Mus musculus: one gene and its partners. The protein of the gene in region 2 binds, or shares a complex with, the protein of the main gene of each other region. Links are inferred from orthologs where the notes say so. Each region holds a gene or a part of one and is shown on either strand. Other genes may lie near its edges.

The links. The genes of interacting proteins can lie anywhere in the genome.
Region 1: the proteins of Rev1 (region 2) and Pold3 are in contact, whole or in part, in an NMR structure (PDB 2N1G), measured with the Homo sapiens proteins. The link is inferred for Mus musculus from reciprocal best matches to the Homo sapiens genes REV1 and POLD3. Residues at the interface, in NP_057400.1 of Homo sapiens: Asn1158, Leu1159, Ala1160, Gly1161, Leu1171, Leu1172, Glu1174, Trp1175, Ile1179, Met1183, Glu1184, Glu1185, Asp1186, Gln1189, Val1190; in NP_006582.1 of Homo sapiens: Gly232, Asn233, Met234, Met235, Ser236, Asn237, Phe238, Phe239, Gly240, Ala242, Ala243, Met244.
Region 3: the proteins of Rev1 (region 2) and Polk are in contact, whole or in part, in an NMR structure (PDB 2LSI), measured with the Homo sapiens proteins. The link is inferred for Mus musculus from reciprocal best matches to the Homo sapiens genes REV1 and POLK. Residues at the interface, in NP_057400.1 of Homo sapiens: Asn1158, Leu1159, Ala1160, Gly1161, Ala1162, Asp1167, Leu1171, Leu1172, Glu1174, Trp1175, Thr1178, Ile1179, Met1183, Glu1185, Asp1186, Gln1189, Val1190; in NP_001374042.1 of Homo sapiens: Lys564, Lys565, Ser566, Phe567, Phe568, Asp569, Lys571, Arg572, Arg575.

Annotation. Positions count from the first base shown.
Region 1 is NC_000073.6:100,111,426-100,115,033, forward strand, and holds part of Pold3 (DNA polymerase delta subunit 3), read right to left. Parts: intron 948-3,608; coding exon 845-947; intron 1-844. UniProt on the Homo sapiens protein: Accessory component of both the DNA polymerase delta complex and the DNA polymerase zeta complex.
Region 2 is NC_000067.6:38,056,622-38,060,229, forward strand, and holds part of Rev1 (DNA repair protein REV1), read right to left. Parts: intron 2,674-3,608; coding exon 2,501-2,673; intron 1,156-2,500; coding exon 1,053-1,155; intron 262-1,052; coding exon 96-261; intron 1-95. UniProt on the Homo sapiens protein: Deoxycytidyl transferase involved in DNA repair. Transfers a dCMP residue from dCTP to the 3'-end of a DNA primer in a template-dependent reaction.
Region 3 is NC_000079.6:96,480,112-96,483,612, forward strand, and holds the end of Polk (DNA polymerase kappa), read right to left. Parts: coding exon 3,380-3,501; intron 2,381-3,379; coding exon 2,347-2,380; intron 2,144-2,346; coding exon 2,059-2,143; 3' UTR 576-2,058; downstream 1-575. UniProt on the Homo sapiens protein: DNA polymerase specifically involved in DNA repair. Plays an important role in translesion synthesis, where the normal high-fidelity DNA polymerases cannot proceed and DNA synthesis stalls.

The DNA.
Region 1 (3,608 bases), on a different chromosome or scaffold from region 2:
TAAACGTATGATTTTGAAGGAAAATCAAAAGGGTAGTAAAAAAGGCATCTTAGTAGACCTCCACGAGGAGCCCTGATCCTGGGACTGATGGCAATGAAACAGAGGTGTCTTCAGACAGGCTCAAGGAAAGTGAGGACGGAGAAGACCTGCACAGGAAGCCGGTGTGCAAGAACTATGAACGAGCCCTGGATTCAGTCCAAGGCAACAGAGCTTCTGGTGCTTAAGGCCTGGGAAGAGCTCAGTAATACCTGTTCCCCACCGCGAGGGAAACAATGGAAGTCAACAAAAGAGCACCAGCGCTGAGACTGGGACTGAGACTGCGTTGTGGTTGAGATGAAAAAAGCAACAGTACCCTGAGCTGGCGGGCATGCAGAGGGGCAAGAACAGAAAAGAATGCAGGAGCCTAAACACCTGTCTGTACCAGCAGCTAAGCCTCGGCCTTACAACAGGCCACTCCAAGTGACCTATCAAAACGAGTACTCAGGTTACAAATCACCTAATTTTTTTCCCTCCTTTTTTATTTAACATTGGAATCTGACTTGAAATTTGAAGATGAAAATTAAGTACCAGTGTCTACAATACGTATTCAAAAGGAAAAAGAGGTTCAAGGAAAAGCCATTCCCTAATGTCTCATTTCCTAGGTAACTAAGAGTGACAGTCTCCTCATCACAGACAAGATATTACATAACCTTTCTTGTCAGATTTAGTTTAAAATTTCAGAACACTCACTCTCTTTAAGAGGTACTTTAAAACTTCCATACCATTCACTCTTCCTTCTTCCTCCTGTTATTTCTAATAATGTTTCTATCTCATGAACATGAAGTCTTGTTACAAGAGAACTTACAGAATGTCCGTTCTGTATAAGACTGCCAGACACCAAGTAGGTAACATGCAGCTGAGCTCCCGAATTTTCTTTCCGTTTCCTTTCAACATATTCATAGAGCATCCTGTGCCAAACAAGACAGAAGTGACTCATTAGCATGCAGCTTCCTCATCGACTCCGGATTCATGACTTGGAAGTCATATATATGAAATCTGACAGTTTCTTCAACAGCACAATTTTTTACTTACTGAACAGATTTTTGAAAAAACAATGAAAAAACTTTAGATGGAGCATGGGACTGGAACCAACTTATCTGAGTTGGCTAAGACACCCAGGAAGTAACTGAGGTAAATCTAGAAATATGCCAAGAGGGACAGAACCCATAGTCAAACAGTGGCAATGGCCAAACTGCAGATACAAAAGTGAGTCAATTATCGAGCTATGGCATCCAGAATAAACTTTTCTTGGTTTCCTATCTTCAGGCATAAAGCACAAGTGGCATTACTACATGAATAACTCTTATAACCCGAAGTCATACACTGTCTGCAAGCCTCTATTCTCAAATATCAATAGTCTATATGTGCTTTCCTAGAGATGGAAAGGATTTGGGGTTTTTAGTAATTCTATGAGATCATTATGTTAAATACTTCAAGTCATCATATACATCATGACAAATATATATTCACCTGTTACTACTGAATTACATACAGTCAGATGTTTCATGATGTAGAATATAGCAGATGCTTACACCAGCCAACATCTAAAATGTTCATTAACCACACACTAAATGCAGAAGTGTTGCTTGCAGTAAAGTCTTTATTCACTTTTATCCCAACCACCCAAAATACCAGAAGTTGATGCCCCTCAATGGAGTTTAACAATAAAAAGATGCACATCATCTGTCTTTATTTCAAGAAATATTTAGCAAGCTTCTACAACATATCACACTTCAGTTGAGAACAGCCAGAAACTCAGAAATTCTGATAGCTAGGTATGGTGGTACAGGCCTTTAATTATCCTAGAGGAAGAGGCAGGTGGATTTCTGTGAGTTCAAGTCCAGCCTGGTCTACACAGTAAGTACCAGGCTTACTCCAGTAAGCCTAAGAAACCCTGTCTTCTCCAGACGCCCTCCCTCGCTTACCTTCCACGATACCCAGCCGAGTCCCCTGCTACACCTGCTCCATTTTTCCTGCAGTTTCTGTGCTTTCCTCTCCTTAGCCATCTTACCCTATTTTAGTATGACCAGTCACCCCAGTTTGCCTGACTCAGATAGGTTTCCTGGGAAATGGGATATGGTTGGTCACCCCGTGGTATCCTCCATTGTCTATTTTATTCAACTCCATGGCTTCGGTTTTTTTTCCCTGATGACATCATCATTTGTTCAAACCACCTTAGCCAGAAATCCAGGAGTCATTACCTTTCTCCTTATGCAATGAGTTGCCAAGTCTCATCAGTCCTCCCTCCCAACTAACTCTTGACTGGACTCTATGCTCTCCAACACGCTATACTAGACTATTTCAAGTCCAAGGGTCACCTGTATTCTCTTTTCACCATCATTATCTGTGAGGCTGTCATAGTGAAGTTTTAAAATGCAAGTCAGTAAAAAAAAAAAAAAAAAAAAAAAGTCAATAGATTAAAAAAACGAATCAAAACGTTCCTGAGTGCCCACTTGTGTTCTAAGCAGTAAACAAAGGAGTCACGGCTCCTACCCATCTGGACCAGCCATTTCTTTCCTAGAGCGTAAGCTTAAAATTGGTAGGAACTTGAATCACAGCCATCTGTCTGCCTCCCTTTAATCCTAGGGAGGGAGTCTGAGGCCAGCCTGGCTTACATAGGGAATTCCAGGCCAGGCAGGGCTATATAGGTTCCATCCATCTAATTCCTCCTACTCCAAGTCTCTCTGACACGGCTAGCCAAGCAGAGCACCTCTGCCTCCCGAGTGTTAACAGCTTACGCCCTATCATGCATTCTGACATCTACTACACCACACTCTATCACAGGTTTTTAAGGCTGCCTTTCCATACACCACCAGTTACGTAAGTACAAAGCGTGCACTATTTGTCAGTTTTACGGATTCTTCCGCCTTGCTCTCTCACATCTTCCCCACTTCAGAGACCACGTTAGAAGGGCAGATGAGGGGGTGGACTCTTGACTGTTGATGCTAATTAGGACCTGCTAATAGAAAACCAAAAAGGCAAATACCATGTCTACCATGCTCTCAAGCGTGTCAGCCAACTAGTCTTTTCTCCACAGCTCTTGACCTTGCCTGGGTCAGTCAGCAAACCACTGTCTTCTGCACAGGTTTCCCCAAATAAACCCCAGCTGTTCCCATATTAGTTTCTCTTCTCACTTGTTTTTGTTTTGTTTTCTTTTTAATCTATTTCCCTTCTTACTGAGAAGTTTACAACAAACTTTTTTAAAAAGGAATTTATACCTACTTTAACACGTTTCTTATTTAGTAAAGGCAAGTACTCCATTTCTGACAATAATATATGTGAAATATTCTTTAAAATGAGTGAAAAGCCTTGACATGCTGCAGAATGTTTCCTATGCACATGATGACTTACAACCTCCCCGAGACCCTTAACTTTCCTCTCCTTTAGCTCCCCTGGAACCAAACCAATTTTAGTCCTCCATAATATTTTTCCAATCTGAAGATGTCATGTTTAAGTCAATGAGGAAGGATCTTGTCTGTTAAATAATACTTTAAAAAAAGAACTAAAAACAAGAATTTGTTTTGTTTTCTCAAGAAAAGGTTTCTCTGTGTAGCCCTGGCTGTCCTGAC
Region 2 (3,608 bases):
GAAAGGGCACAGACCCATGTGGATTTAAAATGGAACTTCTTACTCCCCGAGGACTTGGTGGAGCAGAAAGCAGCCGCACACTGAGGGCCACCCACCTTCCTTGTGTTCCTCTTCTGTGGGTTTCTTGGCTTTCTGAAGTTGGAAGAGATCACGGACAGAATGTGGCCGACCAGAGAAGAGGCTTGACTGAGCTGATGGACGACTTGAACATGTGGAAAGATTTGAATTAGCAGGAACCAACTGATTCACTTGAATACCAACCTAGAGTCAAAATAAAAGAGAAGGTTTCTAAAATAACAAAAGTGAAAAGTAAGAATTCATCTATACAAAATTCTCAGTTATTGTTGGTGCTGCCAACAATCCAGTTTCTAGAATAAAGAATCCATTGGAACAATGCAAACCAACAGCTTACTTATGAGTTGTCCCTCAAACAACTTGTGGCTCAGTGAGTTAAGTAGCTTTATCTTACTTACTTACATGGTGGTGGGTAGTAAGACTTTTAAAATCAGAATACCCAAACAAGTGGATTTCAGTACTCCATAGGTGTGCTGGGTGCTTTACAGGGTTCATTACATTTAAAGGGGAAAGGCTGGTATAGTACAAGCACGGGGGCCCATGACAACCAAAGTGCCTGTACCTACTCAAGTGTCTCACCAGCCCCAGATGAGGTTTTAAATAGGATTTGTCTCTAAAGCTGGCAGGCTGGGTATGGCAGAGTGGTCCACCTATCTACTTAGCATGATGAAAGTCTCCCTACAGTAGTAGAGTTACAGAGCTGGGACAGGAACGCAGTGATACGGGTGCTCATCAAGTGCTGGGAATAGGACGTGTAAGATTTAAATAGTATTGTGCAGAAGACAGAATTACACAGTAACAAATCTAATCTATCAGAACCAGCATGAGGAGGCTTGACGAGAAGTCCTGTTTCCTTCTGTGGACTGCATGGATGAAGTTAAAATTGTGTCCATAATACGCCGGTACTACATCAGGACCGAGCTCAGAGGAAGCCCAGACTTCACGATACAGAAAGAAGGAGCCAGTGTGATACTCACCCCTCTCATATCCGATATATTTAGTTTCATTGTATGAAACATGTTTAGAGTGGCTTTCCCAATTATTTTTGCACTATCTGTTGCCTGGTCCAGAGTTACAGTCCTGTAAGTATTAGAATTACATTCTTAAGCAAACAAATGCACATTCCATATATATTCATTAAAAGATCATATACACATTGCAAGGAGTTATTAATAATTGCCCTTACAGTAAGCCAGGAAGACCACCACCCCCAAGCATAGAAACCATAACATTGGTGCTTTAAACAAGCCATGAAGAAGCAAACCAAAAGTTGACAAATTTAGGCAAGAAAATTTTTAGTTAACGCATGTAAAAAAAATGTATATATGGATATACAATGTTGGAATTAAAACAGACTGCATGGTAGAAAGCCAGCTCTGCCTCCCTCCCACCTGACCCACAAACCTATGCTTAAGAACCAGGTTCACATAGAAATGTCCATTATTGTTGCTTTCAATTTCTACATAAAGTGTGTTGTTTTACTTCTTGCCTGTTTCCCCAGTACATAATGCTTTCAATAACACACTAAGTTTCTGTATTAGAGACTTTATAAGAACAAACATGTTTGACATGAGCTCATCTTTACTGAATACTCACATCATAACCCTTACTCATAGACAGATTGTTAAAGATCCTAACACTGGCTTGTCAGAGTACAATTTGCTGAACAAAAGACCCACTTTAAAAAGTGGTTTCGTGTTGGTCACAAACATTAAGTGGTGTGCCCATCAAACATCATAGTTTTAAAAAACAGTTTTCTACAGCTTTCAGATAGGATTCTGGTTGCTCTAATGATTTACTCAGGAAACGAACATCCCAGTCAGTCTCTCACAAACCACACCCGTCCCCTTGTCTTGCTAATGTGCAGCCCTTTTCCTTTCTACACACTCAAGTTAACAGCCTGAAGACCCGAGGAAGCCTCGGGCTGCCACCTGGCTGGGACTTAGATGTGATCTGTTCACAGTCATGCTGGTGTCAGTGATCTGGGCCTAAAGAGACAAGGACAGGAACTGACTAGGTCATTGCTGTCCTGAGCACTTGTTTACAGAAGGGAGGAGGAGCGAGACTGGTCCGTTCAGAGCAGTTTAGCTTCTTGCCTCACCTTGTGTCTGTCATCTATGTTCCTGACACTGGGATGCCACTGGCTGGCAGACAGTTGAAGGGTACCAGCCTCTTACATCACCAGGAACTGTGAACTAAATAAATCTTTTCTTTAAAAATTATCCATTGACATTCAGTATTTTGCAATAGGTATTAAACCTAAGTCAAGTGACCATGGGCTGTGCCTGCCTCTACAGGCTGCTTAACAACACCAGGATTGGTAAGTTGTAACTCAAACTACTACTACTGATATTATGTTGTATGACTTATAATAAGCTGCACAGAATATAACTACCAACATTCCTTTCTTAAAGAATAAGTTTACCTGGCGATGTTATCACAAATTCCATGGCCTCCAAATTTTGCAGTTTCTATAGGGGCCCCTGGCTTCCGCACCATGATTTTCAGAGTCAGGCGTTTGCCCTTCATGCCAGCAGCTTCAAGTCGTCTTTGAATTTCTTCTGAAAGACTCAGAAGGAAAGCTTCTGCTTCTTTGGGCTACACAAAGGTAAAGATGAAAAGCACACTGATTCTTTTCCTTAACCTAATAGGTTCTTCTCAAGTGTCTTAGCTCTGCATATTGAGCATATCTTATTTCCCTATCATATGCATTGACTTAAAACACACACTGTGCATACACCTTGACTGTATGCTACTGTAAGTGGTCATGTTCTCAGTGTACTAAGTACTCTGTAAGCCATTTTCCTGCTTTACTTTTTTATGCTGTCACTGACCTGTTGCAAATATTAGTATCCCTGGTAACATATGTATTCCAACACTGTTAGATTCCTACATGAGAGTTCCAAAGAGTAAGAACTTGCCAGATCTCAAATCCTCGGAATGTGCAGTGTATGGCCCTAAATCCCAGAGAGGTGCCCAATGCAAACGTGCATTCGAGGGACAGGAAACACCAATTCACTTGCATTACTGCTACAGAGGCAGGGTATCTCAACCTGTGGGTCACCAGCCCTTTGGGAATCACATGACCCTTTTGCAGTGTCACCTAAGTCCATCAAATAACCTGATAGGTATTAATATTACTATTCTTAACAATAGCAAAATTACAGTTATGAAGTAGCAATGAAAATAATTTTGTGGTTGGAGGTCACCACAGCATGAAAAACTCTATTGAAGGGTTGCAGTAGTATGAAGGCTGACAACCACTGAGGTATGAATAACAGAAGAGGCCAATTTTTAACTACAGTGTGAAACAATTCTTTGTTTGTTTTGCATTTATGGACAAAAATACAAGAATCATATCATCTCAATGGAAGGGAAAAAAAAGTAAGTCTTTGATAAGATTCAACATGCATTCTTAATAAAAGCCCTAGAACAAGTAGGACTGAGGAAACATATTCCAACATAATAAAGGTTATGTATGACAAACCCATGGCCAATATCATCCTAAATGAATAAAACCATTAATAAGCTCT
Region 3 (3,501 bases), on a different chromosome or scaffold from region 2:
TCTGATGCCCTCTTCTGATGTGTCTGAAGACAGCTACAGTGCACTCATATAAATAAAAATAAATAAAGTTAAAAAAAAAAAAGACAGTAAGAGCCAGAGGACTGGGATGTCTGCTCAGATGACGTCTTCTGCATGTGACAAGGAAGTTATACCCACAGAATCTCAGCAGTATAGTCAGTCAAACAAGACCTGCACAACGACACTAGTTAAACATGCCAACACAGAAGGGGGGACTCTCACAAGGCTCCACTCCTCGATGAAAAGCTGCACATCGTTAATGCCTGCTGAGGGAGGGTAGTCAGTCTTTTCCAGGGACAAGCCCCCTGTTGAGTCATCCGGTTTAGTCAGCCCTAAATACAGATACATATGAGCTATACACACACACACACACACACACACACACACACACACAGAGAGCAATATTTAAAGTGAGGTCATAGATTTGAGAGGGATTGAGAGGACATGTGAGGAGTTGGAAGAGAAAGAGCAAGAGAAGAAAATAATGTAACAGTATGTGTGAAAAAATTCTTAATTTAAAAAATTTTAAATTATTATTAAATATGACAGTCAATAAGTGTAGCATCTACATGAAAATAATTTATTACTTAATGTTGAAAACAACAAAAATAAACTTCAGATGGAAGAAAATAATACAGTAATATCTATTTTTCAATACATTAAATCAGTTTCATTGAATTTAATTTTATAAATAGTTTACATAAGTAAATCACAACCAATAACCAAAGGACCACAGAGTTGGAACTGTTGTGGTGTATAATATCAGGTAAGGGTCTGGTGTGTCAGCGAGCTTTTAGCCCATTTTTTTAAGCAGTCTAGCAATTAAAAGTCAGGTTAAGACTGTGCCATACAAGGTCGGTTCTAAGGACCATCAAATATCTCTCTGTCTATAATAAATGCATTAAAATAAGCAAAGGCAAGACTATAAAAAATATTCAGGGTTTTTTTTTTCCTTTTTTGTGTTTTGAAGTAGGGTTTCTCTGTGTGGTCCAGGCTGTTCTTTCTGGAACTCACTCTGTAGACCAGGTTGTCCTCAAATTCAGAGATCCACCTGCCTCTGCCTCTGCCTCCCAGTGCTGGGATTAAAGGCGTGCACCACCACAACCCAGCAGAATTCAGTTCTTAAAGTAGTAGCAGGAAGGGCTTTTTGGTAAGAACTTGTGGGTGGTACTACATCTGCAGCAACCTCTGAATTGCTGCAAATCTTTCTCCCACAACAATTAGCAGAGACGACAGAGAAGCAGCTACGGTAAGTGCAGTGACTCCTCAGGGCACATCTTCTGAGGTGTCTATTTTCTCCTAAAGAGGGGAATGAAAACCAGGCAACTACACAACTTACCTTGTTTACTGCAGATTTGTAGTCAAATATAAATGTTAAGAAATTAAATACTGCCATTTAAAGTACTGAGTTAAAAAAAAGATTTTGAATTATGGACTAAATATTTATGTGAACCAAGTGCTTATATGTAAGATAAGTAAGAATACAAATCACAGGTTTGGACAGGTCCTCTGAACACAGATAATACTGTGCATCACCTTCCTGAAGGGAACAGCCATGCCCACACTCTTTATGTTAAGCTAATGTTCTTCATGGACATCATGGCCGATTCTAACTGCATCTGCTCACAGGACACAGAGATGCACACAGGTAGGTACGGAAGCATCAATGGCACCATGGTGACTAAGCATGGAGGAGCTGATGGTGAGGTTGCTCCATGTGGCTCAGAGTCCTTGGAAATATTTTATATCCATTATAAAATAACGCATCACTTTCTGACCTCACTTCTTACACTGTCTCTAACACGACTGATTTCCAACTAAGATATATATATATATACTGGGAATGAAATTCTCATGGCTATTAAGGAAAACATAAATGAAATAAATTAATATTCAGTCTACATTCTTAAAAAGGTCACGTAGGGGAGGCATTATTGCACTTGTCTTCCTTAAAGGAATACATTTAAAATGAGGAAGAATAAATATATTGACTATGAAAATAATAATTTCAATGATAAACGTTGATAAAATGTTCAAAGTTCATTTAAAAAATCCATCAAGGGTGTGTCTGGGATCTCGGGGCTTTGTTTTCTTCAAAGTTGAGCTCTTTGTCTTCGTTCCTGGCCTGGAATGAGAAAGAGCACACAATTGCTATGTAGAAGGAAATATTTGAAAAAGAGTTCTGCAAAAACAGCTTTTAAAATGTTACTCGGTTAGTGTAAAAAAGCAGAGGTGAGCCCCTGAAACTCAGAGAGGACACAAGCTGTCTGCACTGAAGCTCAGAGCAGGGCACAAGCTCTCTTTGCTCAAGCTCAAAGCCAACCCTACCTTTTGGTCCTTCCTGAAGCCTTCTGAAGTCTGTCTGCAGGGGAAAGAAAAGTCAAGAAATGCCATGAAGGAAAAGCGACACAAAAGCTATAAAATTAACAGAGTAAAGATATTATACATATCCCAAGCTAATTTTTAAAAATATTGTTACATTAATTAAACTGGGGTGTGTGTGCATGTGTGTGCATATGTACATGTGCACACATGTATGGAGTGAGCAACTTTCAGAAGTCAGTTCTTTCCTTCCATTGCATATTCCAGAGACACAGCTCAGGTTGAAAGGCTTGGCTCCAAGCACCTGTACCCTCACAGCCACAATGCCAGCCCCACAAAGTTAAGTTCACAATATTGTTTCTTTATAACTATATACTTACAGTTTGTACAGTACTGTTTCTTATAACTGTAGAGTTCTACTGGCATTAAACTTAGTTTCTGCAATCTTGCTATAGTCAGCATTACCAAGAACAAAGTGTAAAAGACTTCCTGGCTCTATAAATAAAGCTAGTTTGTCACAGTACACCAGCAGACGCTCCCTGAGGGAATTTCATTTTTGACTGGATCACTCAGATCCTTCAACTTTAACTTCATTCTACAATAAATCAAAACTAAGCTGGACTTTCTCTTCAATTCAAAAGCTCACTTTGAGTTATTTCTAGCCAGGGTAAAGGTAACTAATATTTTCCTAAATGAGAGCAAACACAAGCCATCCTTTTAATAGTATACATTTCAAATTTATAGTTTCGGTAATTTTAATGAGACATATCCCTAGAAAATCACATTCCTCTTATTTTTTTAAATTTAATTTTAAGTGTATTGATGTTTCATCAACATGTATGTTTGTGTACCGTGAGTGTGTGAAGCCAAAGAAGGGTATCAAACTCTCTGGCACTAGAGTTACAGCATATGGTTGTGAGCCACCATATGCATTTTGTGGACCAACTGTAGGTCCTACCCAAGAGTTGCAAGTGCTCTTAGCCACTGGCCTGTCTCCCTTCCTCCCACAACGCATTCCTCTTAACGACCACACACTTACCAGTACTTCTCGAGCTTTCTTTGGGTTGTTTAACTGAATTACCTTCACTATTTCTCAGTTCTTGGATAATACCTTTATTTAAGCAAATATCCACATGTATGTTGAAGAGGGTAAGATCAGAA